Caenorhabditis elegans: one gene and its partner. The protein of the gene in region 1 interacts with the protein of each later gene in a pairwise test. Each region holds a gene or a part of one and is shown on either strand. Other genes may lie near its edges.

Region 1 (3,583 bases):
AAGTTTTTTTTATTAATTATCCAGTAGTTATTTTTTACCCTACAAAGTTAAAAATTTCAACGTCAGAGATGTCCTAAAGCCAGTGCAAAAGTAATAGAAGAAATATGGTATTTCTTGGAAAATTGTGTTTTTGCACAATACAACTCGAAAAGTTCCAGTATTGAAATTTCCTGCCGTGCCTGAACCTCGATCGGTAATAGATCGTCAAATTTATTTAGAACGCGCAGTTTTACCAACTCTACAACCACAAGAAATTTCATTCTTATTGTCAACTACCAAGTTGTATGATCAATCTTATGATCTTCCGACTGTCATCATACTTTGCAACACCACCTCAACCTATCACTAGTTGCCGAGCGCCATCGGAGCAAAATCTGTGCTCGCCATTCGCCCCCAAATAATCCATTAATGTTTTTGCTGTGAAGCCCACTAGAGATCACATCCCGGCGTATAGAAACCAGAGAAACGTTACACATCTTTGGAACAGCTGCGTGCCATCAGAGCAGTCACTGACTTGAGGCAGAAAAGAGAGAAGAATCGAGCTTTGTTGACCAAACAACTTTATTTTGTTTTGTACAACAAAAAAAGAAGAAAAGAAGAAAATCATATTATTAGGATATGAGAAGGTATCGGGTGAAACATTGCAAGGGCTTGGCCATTTTTGGAATTCTTGAGTTGGATGGGTTGGTTTTTAGGCGAATGGGTTGGTCTTTCCGGCCTTTTGGAGCTGAAAATATTACAATTTTTATAGCTTGAAGTCAAATTTTAGATAAACTTACAACTCTGCCGAGCGAGAGAAGAGTGACGCAGACGGAGAAAAGATCGCGTCCTTCGACGAGCTCCACAGACTGGAATGTCTCCTCATTTGGTACTCCCTGCTTCTTGGCGAACTCGACGAATGCGTTGATGTTCTCCATGCATGCGAAGGTCGAGATCGGCTTTTGCACCTTCTTGATTGATCCGGCCTCGATTCCGTTGGCGGCTCTGAAAATTTTAAGATTTTGTTGAACAATACTAGGTAACAAAAACTCACTTGCAAAGAAGGGTTCCGTCCTTGAGAAGGTTGTGGAAGTTGTCGCGTTCTCCGGATGTAGAGATGTTCTCACCGGAGAGCTTCTTGATCCATTCGAGAAGAAGAGTGGCCTCCTTGTCGATGAACTTGGAGTCTTGCTGAAAAATGAAGAATAGCCTAACAAAATCACTGAAATTCACCAAACCTTTTGGCGGACAGCGAATCCGATTCCTCCGGCGGTGGTGCGATTGGCCATGGTGTTTAGAAGGGGGATAGTCAAAAAAGAATGACAATGAGCTTCTCCTCGCGTCGGACCTTGCTTTTATCAGATGCTCAAGCTCCGCCCACACCGGGGGAGCTTCCCGAAGGAAGATGGCTCGGGGGAACCAATTGTGCGTCTGGAGTCTCTTGCGGGGGAGAGATTTGCTGACGTGGTGTTTTGAAGTGGTGGGTGGCGAGAGGTGAAACGAACGGACCAATGGTCTGAGTCACTTGTTTCTACGGTGTAAAACGAAATATTTTGAAATTCATTGAAATATCAGAGATTATCATTCAAGTTGAAACGTCTGACCTGAGACTTCAAAGGCGCAAGAGGGTCTCGTCACGATTTACACCGGAAATTATTTGAATTCCAAGTTCTTGTCTTCCAATATTTTCAGTGTTTTTCTCCCGAAAATAGGGTTACCGCTCTTGCCACGATCGAAATAGTCCATAATCGACGAAAAATAGTGTGCGCCTTTAAGTTGTACAGTAACCCACTTTTTCCATTTGCCGGACTTAAAAATGGAGCCAATGCATTGACAGGGCCATGTGAATAAGCAAAACATCACAAAATTCTCTCAAAAGTTTGTTATAGCCCTTCAAATATCTAGAAATCATCCGCTGAGACTTTTTAATTCGAATTTCGCGCGGAAATGAATTTCATAGATTCTCGGCCGTGTACTCCTCTCGGACAAAGCGTGTACTCCTCTCGGACAAACCGTGTACTCCTCTCGGACAACTAAATTAATTTACTAATTGTTGAATTTAAGGCTGTTTTAAGCGATTTTTCGTATTTTATAATGAAATTTTATAATTTTCTAAAAAACTATAAAATTTGTGTCCAAAACTATCGATTTTCATTAGAAAAACAAGAGAATTCATGATAAAACACGAAAAATCGCCCGAATTCAATTGGATATATCTTTTTGGATATATAATTGAATATATTGGATAGATATATTAATATTTTTATCAATTGATTGTCCCAGAGCAGTACACGACCGGGAATCAAGAAACTTATCTCTTAAGCATATGTCTGGAATTTGTTCTCAAATCATTTTTCTAATCTGCAAAATTGCAAAAATCTGCTCTTTTCCTCCGTAAAACACATTCATCGCCATCTGGAATTCATTGCCGTTCCGTTTCTTTTGTTGTTCTTCACATTTTTGTCCATTGTAATGTTCAGATAGCTGTGCCACAAATTAGAGATGTCTGAAGTGTAATGCCACGTCACTTTCAGAAATCTCCAGAATCTTTCGAAACTTGTTGGCTGACAAGTCGAAGGTACTTTTTTTTTTGAAATCGATCGAGGTGTTGTTGATCCGCGAGTTGAGCAGCTGTCCAGCTGTCGCGTCCAACCCACTCAAAATTGTTGTTTTCGTGAAATGGGAAAAAGTTTGGCCTCTATTTACTGCATAAACATTTTGAAACCTCGACAAACCAGCAAACAAATTGAAACATAAAATAGAAATACGAAATAAATATAATGACGGGGAGGGAGAGCAATGAACTAGAATGCAACAGACAACAATAAATAGAGGAAAGGAAGCGATATGAAAAACAGGAAATAGATTGAAAATTGGGGAAATTAATTGATTGCAGCAAGGGCAAATTTCTGGGCGAGTTCGACGGCAGCATCAAGTTTATCGACATTCTCTCCGGTGAGCTGAGCATTTGCGTCCTTTCCACCACCTTTTCCACCGAGAACTGTGCAAACTTCATTCACCCACTCGTTGGCTTTCAGGCCGTTGCTCACCAAGCTCTGAAAAAATTATATTATTTTTCTGAATTGTTTCAAAATTTCAAATTTCTCACCTTATCAACTTTAGCAAGACACAAAACTTTTCCAGAATCTTCATTCACAGAGAAAGCCATAACTGCTTTTGTGTCCTTGAGAAGTTTCAGAGCATTATCGATGGCTTTGCTGTTAGCATTGGCGGCGAAGACGTGAACGAGAACAGTAGGCTGCTCAGCGACAGCAGCAAGTTCCTTGGCTTCTCCAAGAACCTTTTCAGCGACAGCGGCTTGTTGTGCCTTTGTGTATCCATCCAAAGTCTTCTGAATGGCCTTTGCCTTTTCACGGATAGAATCCTTTCGCCAGTATGGCAGCTGAGCTCCGTTGGCTTCATCGACAATTTCTTGAATCTTCTTCTGGAGAGCCTTGAACTTATCCTTGTTGGCCAAGAGCTCATCCTTCTTATCGGCATGCTTCGATTCTTCTTCTAATCGAGCAGTCAGTCGATCGGCTCTGGCAATGGCTCTTTCAGCTTCTGGTCCTGTCAATGCAACGATACGACGGATTCCTTTAGC
Region 2 (3,923 bases), 1.6 Mb from region 1:
CAGTTTTTTTTTTGATTGCCCTTCAATATTTGCTCCCGAGCTCTTGGAATCTAAGAAAATCTAAAAAAAATTGCAATAAATGAGCAATTTCCGCTTCCAGTTTTCTAACAAAAAACAAATGTTGGGGGCAGCGGCGCGAGTTATTATTATTCCAGTTTTTCTCGGAGCAGGCAACAACAAACGATTTCCTTGTTGGAATAATGTGGAGCACCTGAAAATCTAGTTTTCTGAAATTCTGATTGCAAAAAAAATTCAGAAATCCTCTAGTTTCCAAGCCTAAGCCTAGGCCTGAGCCTATGCCTGAGCCTGAGCCTGAGCCTAAGCCTAAGCCAAAGTCTAAGCCTAAGCCAAAGCCTCAACCTAAGCCTGAGCCCAAGCCGAAGCCTACCCATAAGCCTACGCCTAAGCCTAAGGAGAATTATGAAATATAGATGAAAAAGTTTCAAACTACAGTAATTTTCAAAGGCGCGCACCTACTCACATTTAACAAAAATTAGTCGTGTCGAGACCGTGTAACGTACTTTTGGCGCAAATTTGCGCCGCATCTTTTCAGCACATGTGCCTTTAATTGCATACTGTAGTTTTTGTTTAACTTTGCAATTTCGTTAATTTTTTTGGCATTTCTAGCAGTTACTGTAGCTAAAATGTATTGGTCGTGGTGAGACCTGGGAAAATAAAATAAAAAGTTTTAATTCCTATACACCGCCATTCGTTTCAATTTCGGAAGCACGTATCTCTATTCATTTCCCGCGTTTTTTTTTTCTCATTTTATAGCTAACACCACCATCGTCTCTTCTTGTCTTTCCATTTGTAGCACTCTCCTGGGAGAATGAGCACACGCCAGGGCTCAAGTTCCGCCCATTTTTATTGGTGGTGAGAGCAGTGTTTTGTGGTGGTAGCTCGAGACTTTTTCCACTTTTTGAGAAAAAAAATTCATATGAATAATAATTTCCGATTTTATTTAAGCCTAAATTCTGAGAATGCGTATTGCACAACATATTTGACGCGCAGAATATCTCGTAGCGAAAACTACAGTAATTCTTTAAATGACTACTGTAGGTCGATTTACGGGCTCATTTTTTAATCGATAAAATATTAGAAGAAATCACAAAAATGGCAAAAAATACGAAAACACTAAAGAAAATTGAATAGAAATTCATTTCGAAAATCGAGCCCGTAAATCGGCTTACAGTAGTCATTTAAAGAATTACTGTAGTTTTCGCTACGAGATATTTTTATATTTTGCGCGTCAAATATGTTGTGCAATACGCAGAGATCTCAGAATTTTGAGTTCCCGTAATATAAAAAAAGTAATGCAAATTAAGAATTTCCTAGTCGGCGCATAATTTCGCATTTGCCCGCCCCGTCTCATCTTGCAAGTTGTGTCTCAAATACGCATTCTAATCGTCCTCTTCCGCCCATTTGTCTCTCTTTTTTCATCGTTCTTCCTGCTCCCCCCCAGAGTGACGACGATGTTTCCGTCGTCTGCCACTCAGAAAGAGAAAGACGTTTTTTTTTCTATATTTTTACGAGTTATTTTAATATTTCGAGTTTTTTCTGGGAAAGGGTGCAAGTCTGCCCGTGGCCTAGAAAAAGCGAAAACTCGGCCACCATTTTTAAAAAAAAATTTCTGGAAGTTACCCCTAATCAAAAATGAGTTTTACGAGCACGGCCGAGTTTCTAATTTTCTAGGCCATGTCGCTAAGTGGCCTAGAAAAAGCGAAAACTCGGCCAATGAGTTATCGAGAATGGTATTGAAAAAAGTTCTACCGTGCCGATGTTTTTTTTCTGGACGTGGCTGAGTTTCTAATTTTCTAGGCCACGTAGTTCAAAATTTTCCAAACGGTGTTTCAGGCTCGACTTGTCCACTTCTTGAGAAAGAGAAAAAAATAGGCCTAGGCTTATGCTTAGATTAAGGCTTAGGCTTAGGCTTAGGCTTAGGCTTAAGATTAGGCTTAGGCTCAGACTCAGTCTCAGTCTCAGGCTCAGGCTTGTGTAAGGCTTAGGCTTAGGAGTAGACTTAGGATTAGGCGTAGACTTAGGATTAAGCCTAGGCTAAGACTTAGGCTCAGGCTCAGGCTCAGGCTCAGGCTTAGGCTTGGGTCTAGGCTTAGGCTTCGGCTTAGGCTTAGGATTAGGCATAGTGTTAGGCTTATGTTATTTTCAAGAGAAAACAAATTTTTCACATTAAAAATCTCTGACAAATCAAAAAAAAAACTCGATTTTTTCATGATTTCTTCCAATTTTCTTCCCGCCGAATTGCTCTCAGAGATTCCGATTAGAGCGTATTTGCACCGAAATTCCCAATCCCCAATTCCAGATGCTCACTGCAAATAGGCTTCCACGTTCCGCTTCAGCCTATGAAAATTCTGCAATCTCATATGATGACGAGGAGCCGACGACTACAAAATGCTCCAATGATAATGATGACGTGGAAGATGGAAATATTGAAAAACAAATTCTAGAAGTGAAAAAGCGATTCAAAATTCTGAGATCTCTGCGTATTGCACAACATATTTGACGCGCAAAATATGAAAATATCTCGCACCGAATACTACAGTAATTCTTTAAATGACTACTGTAGTGCTTGTGTCGATTTACGGGCTTGATTTTTGAAATGAATATTCCATTTTCCTTCGTTTTTTCTTTTGTTTTTTTTTCAATTTTTTCAAATAAATGATGCCCGCAAATCGACACCAGTGCTACAGTAGTCATTTAAAGAATTATTGTAGTTTTCGCTACGAGATATTTTTTATTTTGCGCGTCAAATATGTTGCACAATACGCATTCCCAGAATTTTGTGTTCCCGTAATACTGGAAATTCCGGGCGCCTCTTGTTGTGCATTTTTTCTTCTCAGAAGCCATTCCGCATTCTTCATGTAGTCGCCTAAGCTCAGCCAATTCCCAATTCAACAAGGGAATTGAAATGTCAGAAAAATACGAGAATTAAAGATGAGAGACGCTCGCGTTTTTTTTTTGTTTTCTCGCGGAAAATAAAATCGAGGAAATAAATAATAAAAAAATTCTAGATTTCAATCCCACGAGATACAGAGCAGCCAAATGGAATGGCGTTTCGAATGGTTGGGAGCCGGAGTCGAGGGATATTTGTCGATTATATTCATCCGGATTCTCCGCAGGTGTGTTTTGAGGCGTGACCTAGAAAAAGCAAAAACTCGGCCAGCGAAATTCCTTAAATTAATTTTTACTGTCCTTTGAAAGCTGGAAGCTGATAATGTTTCTTAATGGCCGAGTTTTCTTTTTTTTTTCTAGGCCATGCCGAAAATGTCCCCTTGTGATTTTGCTATTAGTGGTCCTGGCACGATCGAAACTTTTTCGCAATTTTCTAAGAAAATTTCGTTGTTTTAAACATTCTTCTTTTAATTGTAGATCAATATATTTCTCGATTTTGGAGCCAAAAAGTTGTTCCGGTCTCGACACGATCACGTGGTTCCAGGCTGTCCCATTGCTGTTTGATCTACAAAAAATGCGGAAATTTTTTGCCTAAAAAAATGTGACGTAAGCACGTGCAAAATCAGTTGAGAACTCTGCGTCTCTTCTCCCGCATTTTTTGTAGATCTACGTAGATCAAGCCGAAATGAGACACTCTGATACCACGTGTACACGACAATTATCGATTATGCACATACAATTTTTCCCCTATTGTGCGCCTCTAAAGAGTACTGTAGTTTCAAACTTTTGTGGGATTTTTATCGATTTTTTTTTATTTAAAAAACTGAATTCAATTTTTAAAATGTTTGTTAAATAAAAATGGATGCGCGCCTTTAAAGAGTACTGTAATTTCAAACTTTCGTTGCTATGAAATTTGCATCGATTTTTTCGTAGTTTTTATGTTTTGTTTTATTTCTTTTTTTAAATAAATAAATATATTTTTATCGAAAAACTACGAAAAATCTATTTAAAAA

The links.
Region 2: the proteins of cpn-3 (region 1) and F23C8.13 interact in a two-hybrid assay, tested with the Caenorhabditis elegans proteins (one large-scale study listed by BioGRID).

What each region holds. Positions count from the first base shown.
Region 1 is NC_003279.8:3,985,663-3,989,245, reverse strand, and holds cpn-3 (Calponin-homology (CH) domain-containing protein), read right to left. Parts: upstream 1,307-3,583; 5' UTR 1,269-1,306; coding exon 1,218-1,268; intron 1,171-1,217; coding exon 1,034-1,170; intron 985-1,033; coding exon 780-984; intron 728-779; coding exon 692-727; 3' UTR 547-691; downstream 1-546. Other genes in the region: aars-2 (Alanine--tRNA ligase, cytoplasmic), read right to left, coding at 2,862-3,035, 3,089-3,583.
Region 2 is NC_003279.8:2,412,813-2,416,735, forward strand, and holds the start of F23C8.13 (PDZ domain-containing protein), read left to right. Parts: upstream 1-2,318; 5' UTR 2,319-2,320; coding exon 2,321-2,467; intron 2,468-3,029; coding exon 3,030-3,137; intron 3,138-3,923.